Linked DNA regions of Saccharomyces cerevisiae S288C. The gene in region 2 interacts genetically with the main gene of each other region. Each region holds a gene or a part of one and is shown on either strand. Other genes may lie near its edges.

Region 1 (5,386 bases), on a different chromosome or scaffold from region 2:
CTTCCATTGCACGCTGGCGATGCGCGTTCAAAACCTTTTGCATTTCTTTTAACTTTAGATGAGCAGAAGTAAAATTCTTTTCACCTTGCGACCTTTCATCTTTAAGTGAGTTCAGCTTCTTTTTCAGATCGAGGATAAGATCTTGTAGCTCCTGCTTGTGTGTTTTCTTGGCAAGAATTTTTTCTTCTAAAGTTTCAACGTTTTTTTTCAGTTTAGCTTGAGTTTCCTCCAACAAAGATAGTTCGGATTCAGCCAATTGTATCTGTGATTCTTTTTCCTGAAGTTGGAGGTCCCAAGGCTCCAGTTCCTTTTCATGCCGAATAATCTCTGCAGATATATTCTTCGTTTTATCTTTCAAAGATAGTTTAATATCATCAAGTATACTTCGTTCCTTTTCCAGCAATTGAGTCAAGTCTTTGATCTCCGTCTCGTGTTCGGTTTGTTGTCCACGAAGCTCTTCAAGCATATTCTCGGCCTCCGATATTGAATGTTTGGTGGATTTCAAAGTCTTTTCTGCTTTTTCCATTTTACTTACCAAATTTTTTGTTCTCTCTTCTAGAGACACCCTGGTGCCTTCTAATTCTCTTCTTTCTAAAACCAGGGTCTTTTCTTTCGAGCTACAAGATGATATTCGATCTTTTATTTCCTTACGTTGTGCTTTAATCTCATCCACTTTTTTCAAAGATTCTTGAAATTTCATCTTCTCATCTTCGAGGTCTTTATTCGAAGAGGAGATCTTTTCCAAGGTGCTGGCAAGTTTAGAGTTGCTTTGCAACAATTTAAATTGAAATAATTTTGATCTTAAAAGCGTCAGCTGCTTTTCCTTCTCTAAAAACTCTAACGCCGTTTCTTTCCCTGACTCTAAAGAGTTTTTTTCTCTATCAACAATTTCAAATCTATTTTCCTTTTCCAGGCAAACTTCATTTAGATTCTCAATCTGTCCCATTCGCTCTTCAATTAACGGCTTATAGTTTGCAGTTCCAATTATGTCCTCCAGATATTCCAGTAGTCCGTCGTCACTCTCTTTTTCTGCTTTAGGCTTCATTTGAGCAATATTCTCTACTTCACCTTGTAGAATTAAAAATCGTTTATGGTCTAAATCAATACCCTCATTCTTTAAAAGCTTTGTCACCTCTGTGTAGCTACTTTCTTTTTCGTTTATGTAATATTTCGATGAGTTGTTTTTAAAGGCTTTCCTTGTAATGATCAATCCAGGTTTTTCTTCATCGATTCGGGAAGTACCCGAAGATTCATCAATAACGTACTGAAAATGTACAGCTACGGAACATGATTGCAAACTTGGGAAAGCTTCTGATTTATGAATTAAATCCGACAATCTGTCCTGTCTCATCTTGTTCGCTCTAAATCCAAATACAAATAACATGGAATCGATGACATTTGATTTACCTGAACCATTGGGGCCTACCACGGCCGAGAAGCTAGTATGAAAGGGTCCTACTACTTGTTTACCAGCGTAGGACTTGAAGTTCTCTAAGACTAGTTCGTTAATAAATAGTCTGCTCTGTTGCTTGCTCGACGACTGGTGCCTATCATAAATTTTTTGTAGTTCAACCCTGCTATTTTTCACTGGCGAAAGCTGGAGCAATTCTAATCTTCTAGTTGGCGATCTTCCTGGAGACCTTGGTGGTGATTGAGAGTAGGACTTATGGTCGCGACCCCTAGAAGAGGTTTTTGGTGGTTGCAAGTTCGGTACATGTAATGACGTGGTTGTTGAGTTTGTAGGTTGAGAAAAGGCATACCGATTTTCCCCAGAACTTAAAACAAGCTTTCTGGGAGTATAAGATTTGGAATAAGATGCTTCCAACGCAGGAAGATCCGGCTCTGGTGTATTCTCGCTTAGGTTAACTCGGTTTTCTACCTGCGAATCTTCTTCGGCATCACCTTGATCAAGAGATAATTCTGGTTCTTGGGCGGACTTCCGCTTTTGTCTTTTGCTCAATGGACTATCAGACATCAAATATATTCTGTTGGTTGCACGTGGTTAGTGTTTAAGGTGATGCGGCTTCTTATAGGGCCTCTTTTATGGTATGAAATCGATTCCAGTGTGTAGATAATGTAAACCTATATGTATTTTCGTGATTATTGTAAACAGTTTACTTTCCGTCCATAATTACAAATGCATTTCAAAATGGGCCAAGAAGAACAAGAGAATTAATGCAAGACCAAAGGAGAAGAAGCGCAGAATCGTGGACAAGATAATTTAAACTATGGAAACACCACCCATTGTGATTGATAATGGCTCATACGAAATCAAGTTTGGTCCTTCCACGAATAAGAAACCGTTCCGAGCTTTAAATGCATTGGCCAAAGATAAATTTGGGACATCGTATTTATCAAATCATATCAAAAACATCAAAGATATTTCATCTATCACCTTCAGGAGGCCACATGAACTAGGACAGCTCACATTATGGGAATTAGAGAGTTGTATATGGGATTATTGCCTTTTCAATCCTTCAGAGTTTGATGGGTTTGATCTGAAAGAGGGAAAGGGTCATCATTTGGTTGCTAGCGAGAGCTGTATGACTTTACCAGAATTAAGTAAGCATGCCGACCAGGTGATATTTGAAGAATATGAATTCGACAGTCTTTTCAAGTCTCCTGTAGCAGTCTTTGTACCATTTACCAAGTCATATAAGGGTGAAATGAGAACAATTTCAGGTAAGGACGAAGATATCGATATTGTCCGTGGCAACTCAGACAGTACAAATTCCACATCAAGCGAGTCCAAGAATGCGCAGGATTCAGGTAGCGATTATCATGATTTCCAATTAGTTATTGATTCCGGGTTTAATTGTACTTGGATAATTCCTGTCCTGAAGGGAATACCGTACTATAAAGCGGTAAAAAAATTGGACATTGGAGGCCGTTTCCTAACTGGGCTACTAAAGGAAACTCTATCATTCAGACACTACAATATGATGGATGAAACCATACTTGTTAACAATATCAAGGAACAATGCTTGTTCGTTAGCCCGGTGTCTTATTTTGATAGTTTCAAAACGAAGGATAAGCATGCACTAGAATATGTACTTCCTGACTTCCAAACAAGCTTTCTTGGTTACGTAAGAAACCCCAGAAAAGAAAATGTACCGTTACCTGAAGATGCGCAGATCATAACACTGACAGATGAGCTTTTCACAATACCAGAAACTTTTTTCCATCCAGAAATTTCGCAAATTACTAAACCAGGCATTGTGGAGGCCATCCTAGAGAGCCTTTCCATGTTGCCCGAAATAGTGCGACCTCTTATGGTAGGAAACATTGTATGTACAGGAGGAAACTTTAATCTGCCCAATTTCGCCCAACGGCTTGCGGCAGAACTACAAAGGCAATTACCCACAGATTGGACTTGTCATGTTTCGGTGCCCGAAGGTGACTGTGCTCTGTTTGGGTGGGAAGTGATGTCACAGTTTGCAAAGACAGATTCCTACCGAAAAGCGAGGGTCACAAGAGAAGAATACTATGAGCATGGTCCCGATTGGTGTACGAAGCACAGGTTTGGTTACCAGAATTGGATATAATTAACTATAGATTTACATAGCAACAATGAAAATCCGAAAAGTCGAGACCTTCAGGTCATTTTCAATTTGGATTTTGTCATGTTTTTAAGAATCTTCCGCAGGCAATAATACATCTCATATGTTTTACATTTTTATTGACAAATTCCCAAATTAGGCAAAAATTCCTCTTTTTTAGTGGTTAGAAACGCCATTCTTCCCATTTTTTCGCGATACAAAAAAAGAAATATATGGAAATGTGGAAATGTCATCATCAGAAGTCTCGAAGGAAAGTGTGCGCTTTAATCATCCCCATACTAGACTTTGTAGGAGAAGATAATACAATTTTCGTTTTATATTTATACAGTTGATTGACCGGGAAACGAAGAAACGCAAGAGAAAACGATCAAAATACACCTGTTCTTCGTTACGATATAGAAATTAAATGTTTGTTCATCGTCTCTGGACACTCGCATTTCCTTTTCTTGTGGAGATATCGAAGGCATCACAGTTGGAGAATATTAAATCTCTTCTGGACATCGAAGATAATGTGCTACCGAATTTGAATATATCGCAAAATAATAGCAACGCAGTACAAATCCTCGGGGGTGTGGACGCCTTATCTTTTTACGAGTACACAGGCCAACAAAATTTCACTAAAGAAATAGGTCCAGAAACAAGCTCACATGGATTAGTTTATTACTCTAACAACACCTATATCCAGTTGGAAGATGCCTCTGATGATACTCGAATAGACAAAATTACACCATTTGGCGTTGATTCGTTTATTCTTAGCGGATCAGGCACGATAAACAATATCTCTGTCGGAAACCAGATATTATACAATTTGTCGACACTGTCTATGACGCCTATATTCAACCAGTCTTTGGGAGCTGTTCAGGCTGTGCTCGCAGACAATTCTTCTATCTATTTTGGAGGAAACTTTTCATATAATAATGGCTCCATGACGGGCTATAGTGCTCTCATTTGGGACTCCATATCAAATACCACCCAACTTTTACCTTTTGGAGGGTTTGGTGAAAACTCCAGTGTGAATTCCATAGTCAAGCTAAATAATGACAACATTTTATTTGCAGGCCAGTTTTATACACTGGATGATCCTTCTGCGCTTATCAGTAGTTCAAATAACGGTACGAACTCAACTTCCTCTTTAAACGCTACTACATTGGAGCTAGGCCAACGAATTCCACTGAGGTACGCTTCCTGGGATTCCCAGGGAAGTACAACGTTTGCATCTGATTCGTTAGTTTGTCCTAACACTAATGAGGATGCATGGCTTTATCCGGATACGTCTGGGTCTCTAGTTTGTAATTTACCATATGAAGTTTCACCAACAAAAATAAGGCTTTATAATTCCCAACGTTCCGATAGTGAAATCTCCGTGTTCCAAATTCTGACTGATCCATCCAGTAGCATAATGAATTTAACGTATCTGGACCCACTAAGTGGGGAGTTGAAGAATTGCGGTGAATTTTGCCCTTTGTATAGCCGAGCCACTTTATTATCAGCAAGCCAAAATGTATCTTCATCCATGGACATGATTACCTTCATCGATAACAACAAGACAGACGTAAAATGGACGTCAGATTTCCAAGACTTTGCGTTTGTGAATGAACTTCCCGTTTCATCGTTAAAATTTGTAGCATTAAATTCATACGGTGGTAGTGTTGGATTATCCGGTTTGGAGCTCTATCAGGACACATTCTCCACTTATGCTAATGATTCTCTCAACGAATATGGCTGCAGCGCGCTTACCAATGATTCGTCGTCATCTACATTGTCGAGCAATGATTGGTATAATGGTCTAACAGGTGAAAGTTATATAGCCGCGAAATATGTTCCAG
Region 2 (3,580 bases):
TGAGGGACAGAGAAGATTGGGGCCAAGCGCTGCGCCTATTGCTTTTGCTGATTGAATTCCCTTATTTACCAAAACATTACTTGGTTTTGCTTGTGGCGAAATTCCTGTACCCAATTTTCCTTTTAGATGATAAGAAGCTAATGGATGAAGATTCAGTGGCGACAGTCATTGAAGTTATAGAAACTAAATGGGATGACGCTGATGAAAAAAGTTCAAACTTATATGAAACCATTATTGAAGCAGATAAAAGCTTACCTAGTAGCATGGCAACACTTTTGAAAAATTTAAGAAAGAAACTAAATTTCAAATTATGTCAAGCGTTCATGTAAATCAGTATAGTAATGTCCTTCGGATGGTATATTAGGATATATGACGAAAATAAGTAAATTTAAACAACAATATATATTTATATTGATCTATTTTTCTATCACGTAAGTTGACATTTGTATTATACATTACATCACAATTAGTAATGGAAAGTGTTTGGAAAAAAAAGAAGATTATTTTGCCTTTCTTTTGAAAAAGCTTTCCAATGTTCCTTGCTTTTTTAACCTTTTATTCGATGACGGCGTTTCTTGCTTTTTTGAAGACGACAATGCCCTTTTTACCACGGGTGATGGCTTGCGTGGTGGTGTTGAAGTTGCGGGTCTCTTTGTCACAATATATCCATCCTCATCAATAAAAGAGGAGGGCTCTTCTTCAGATTTAGGTTCCTTTGAATGTTCTGTTTCAGAAGGCTTTGTTTGCTGTATTTTAGGTACATCCATAAGTGAATCTTCTGCTGTCGTTTCCAACAAGTCTTCTAAATCATCGTTGTTTTTGTCCTTATCGTTGCTGTCAGTTTCTTTAGGTGAGTTGGGCTTGGACCCTCCATTTACTTCCTCTGTATCTAAGTCATCTTCGACAAAAAGATTATTTAACTCTTTCATTTGAGCTTCTCTTTCAGGGTTCTGTTTATTTATTTTTTGCAAGTTCTCCTCTTTCCTTTTACGTAACTCATTTTGTCTAGAGGTTTCCTTGTCATCTCTATCCTTTTTCATCTTAGCCAGCAGTGCAGTAGACCTGAGACCCATGTCTTTAGATTTGGATTTCCTTCCGGTTGTTTCTTCTGGCGTGGTCTTTGATCTTGCTGTAGGCCTTACCAAAGGTTTAGATTTCTCTTCTAACGTCTTAGTCCTCTCTATAATTTTCGATGATTCAGAAACTTTAAGTTCGTATGAATTTTTAATGGTTAAACAATCCTTTTGATCGATAATGTCGTAATATGGTATGAAGCTGTCCATGGGATTGAAGGCATAGATGAAACAATCAATTATTGAATCTTGCTGTGGAATGTTGGAAAGATCATGAATAATTTTAATAGTTTGATCTTTGTAGCAGCATATCACTACGCAGTTGTATTTGGCATTGGTGGTCTGTTTGTAATAGTCAAACATTAATTTCTTGGCCATGGATGGGCCGATCTTCAAGTGGTGAATTAGATCCGTAAAAAGGACGGGCTTTACCTCAGTGAAGAGCTTCTCATTGATAAAATATGACGCCTTTTGATCCATTAATTACCGATTGAGTTAACTAAAGCCTATTTCTGGTTGTTAGTTAATGTGAAATATTATTTCGAGCTGATCTGATTGCGATGTAACGAACTTCTGCGTACTTTTCAAAATTAAGAGTTTCGCGTGTTTAACTCATACGCGTTTACTACTTCCGTCGGAAAGTTACACCGTAGTGGAAAATAGACCTATTCGTTAGTATAACCTTATTAAGGTACTTCCATTAATGAAGTGTTCTATATTGAGGCATACTGATCGAGAATTTTCATAAGGTGAAACGATAAAAATATAAAAATTAAGCTTAGCGCCGCTCGGTTTCGATCCGAGGACATCAGGGTTATGAGCCCTGCGCGCTTCCACTGCGCCACGGCGCTTAACTTTTATGAATATTTTAGACTTAATAAAGATTCATATTGTAAAATTAAAAACAACTTGCACACTGAGCTGTGTTAGAATGAAATCCTACTATAATCCATAGTAGTATTCATGTCACTAGCACATTACAAAATATGCCATAGGAAGATGACGTAAAGATTGAGAACTAGTCATCAGATATAATAGAAGCTGAAAAGCAAGAATTGATAATATCGGACGCTATCCTACAATAGCAGCGCAGTTGCATAATTTGTTATGTGTCGTCTTTATTGTGTGTAAAGCTTTATACACCTTTACCTTTGTGTAGAAGACAAAGACATTGTTGTTATCACTATGTCCACATTCGCTACGAGGATATTTTCAACATATCTAGTTGAAATACAAATCTCAAGCCACTATAAAAACTGCGGAATCAAACAAATGTACAATACATTATCCTACTAGAGACTAATTTCTCAAGGTTTGCAATCCCATCTCTTTTCATGAGGTATATTGCGGCACAGAATGGTTGTACGACCATTGCTCAACGTTTCCGCTCATAGATCGATTCAAATAAGATTATAGACATGTGGCGATTCAATGCCAATCCTTATCCCGAAATTACGGATGTATTCAGCCAACTTTGCCTATCTACATTATTCTGTCAACTAGAGGCTAAAGACACGAATTTCTTGGCATTTTTTGTTTGAAAACTTGAAATGGAAGAAAGACAGAAAGTAATTTTATGTAATCTATTATATTTAAGTAGTTCTAAAAAAAAGGAGAAATCGACGCCAGATTTCCCACCTTGAGTAGAGTATCATACTATATAATATCAATGTACGGTTCACGCACCCAGTTGGCTTAGTCTGTTGAGGGGATGAGTAATTGTTATATATTAACCAAAAAGGGAATCATCTTCGTTGAAATCTTTTTTGAAAAACCATTTAAAAATAACAATACTAGAATATATGATAAGACCACCGATCATGCACATGATACAACTCAAATGGCCAATCAATTGGCAATGATAGAAAACAACAGGGAGTGCTATACCGCTTGTCACCAGCATTCCTGTAAGGAAGTGAGCCAGATCTTGGCCAGTGTTTGATGAATCGGACATGAAGTCAGATGTGTGATATTTATTTCCTGCATTGAAAATTGTGTTTGGTATTGGGGCAAGCAAAAAGATCAAAATATCGAATAGTGGGTAGTAATTATGGAATAATGCGCAGCTTAGTATGACCAAAAGGAATCCCAATGCGAGGAATCCTGACAGAGAAATAATCTTTGTCAATGGTGACACTTTGAATTCCATCATAACCGTCTGGGATTTTATGTATTAAGATTCTTTGCCTTTTAGATTTGATAAATATGCGCCGATATTAGACGTGTGTGTGTGTGTGTGTGTGTGTGTGTGTGTGTGTGTGTGATTCCCCTTTTCTAGTTTTTCTCCTACTCTTTTTTTCTCAGTTTTTCGTAAAGTGGAGTGAAAGCCCATCTAAGAAAAAGGCATAATAAAATGTAATAATTTTGAGGAGTACATTTGGGTATAGAACAGGATCAAACTAATTACAAGAGATACATGGCTTTCCCGCTTAATGCGAGGAAACAGTACTTATATAAACGATATATGTTTGGGGCGTGTATATTATGTATATAAATGTTCTTAAAAA

The links. Genes that interact genetically often act in the same process or in processes that back each other up.
Region 1: mutations in POL32 (region 2) and ARP6 together harm fitness more than expected from each alone (negative genetic interaction), as found in Saccharomyces cerevisiae (5 studies listed by BioGRID, with this or other methods).

The regions. Positions count from the first base shown.
Region 1 is NC_001144.5:298,832-304,217, reverse strand, and holds ARP6 (Arp6p), read left to right. Parts: upstream 1-2,228; coding exon 2,229-3,545; downstream 3,546-5,386. Other genes in the region: condensin subunit SMC4, read right to left, coding at 1-1,975; RAX2 (Rax2p), read left to right, coding at 3,967-5,386. UniProt on the Saccharomyces cerevisiae protein: Component of the SWR1 complex which mediates the ATP-dependent exchange of histone H2A for the H2A variant HZT1 leading to transcriptional regulation of selected genes by chromatin remodeling. Involved in chromosome stability.
Region 2 is NC_001142.9:515,961-519,540, forward strand, and holds POL32 (DNA polymerase delta subunit POL32), read right to left. Parts: upstream 1,554-3,580; coding exon 501-1,553; downstream 1-500. Other genes in the region: NUP85 (Nup85p), read left to right, coding at 1-329; VPS55 (Vps55p), read right to left, coding at 2,803-3,225. UniProt on the Saccharomyces cerevisiae protein: DNA polymerase delta (DNA polymerase III) participates in chromosomal DNA replication.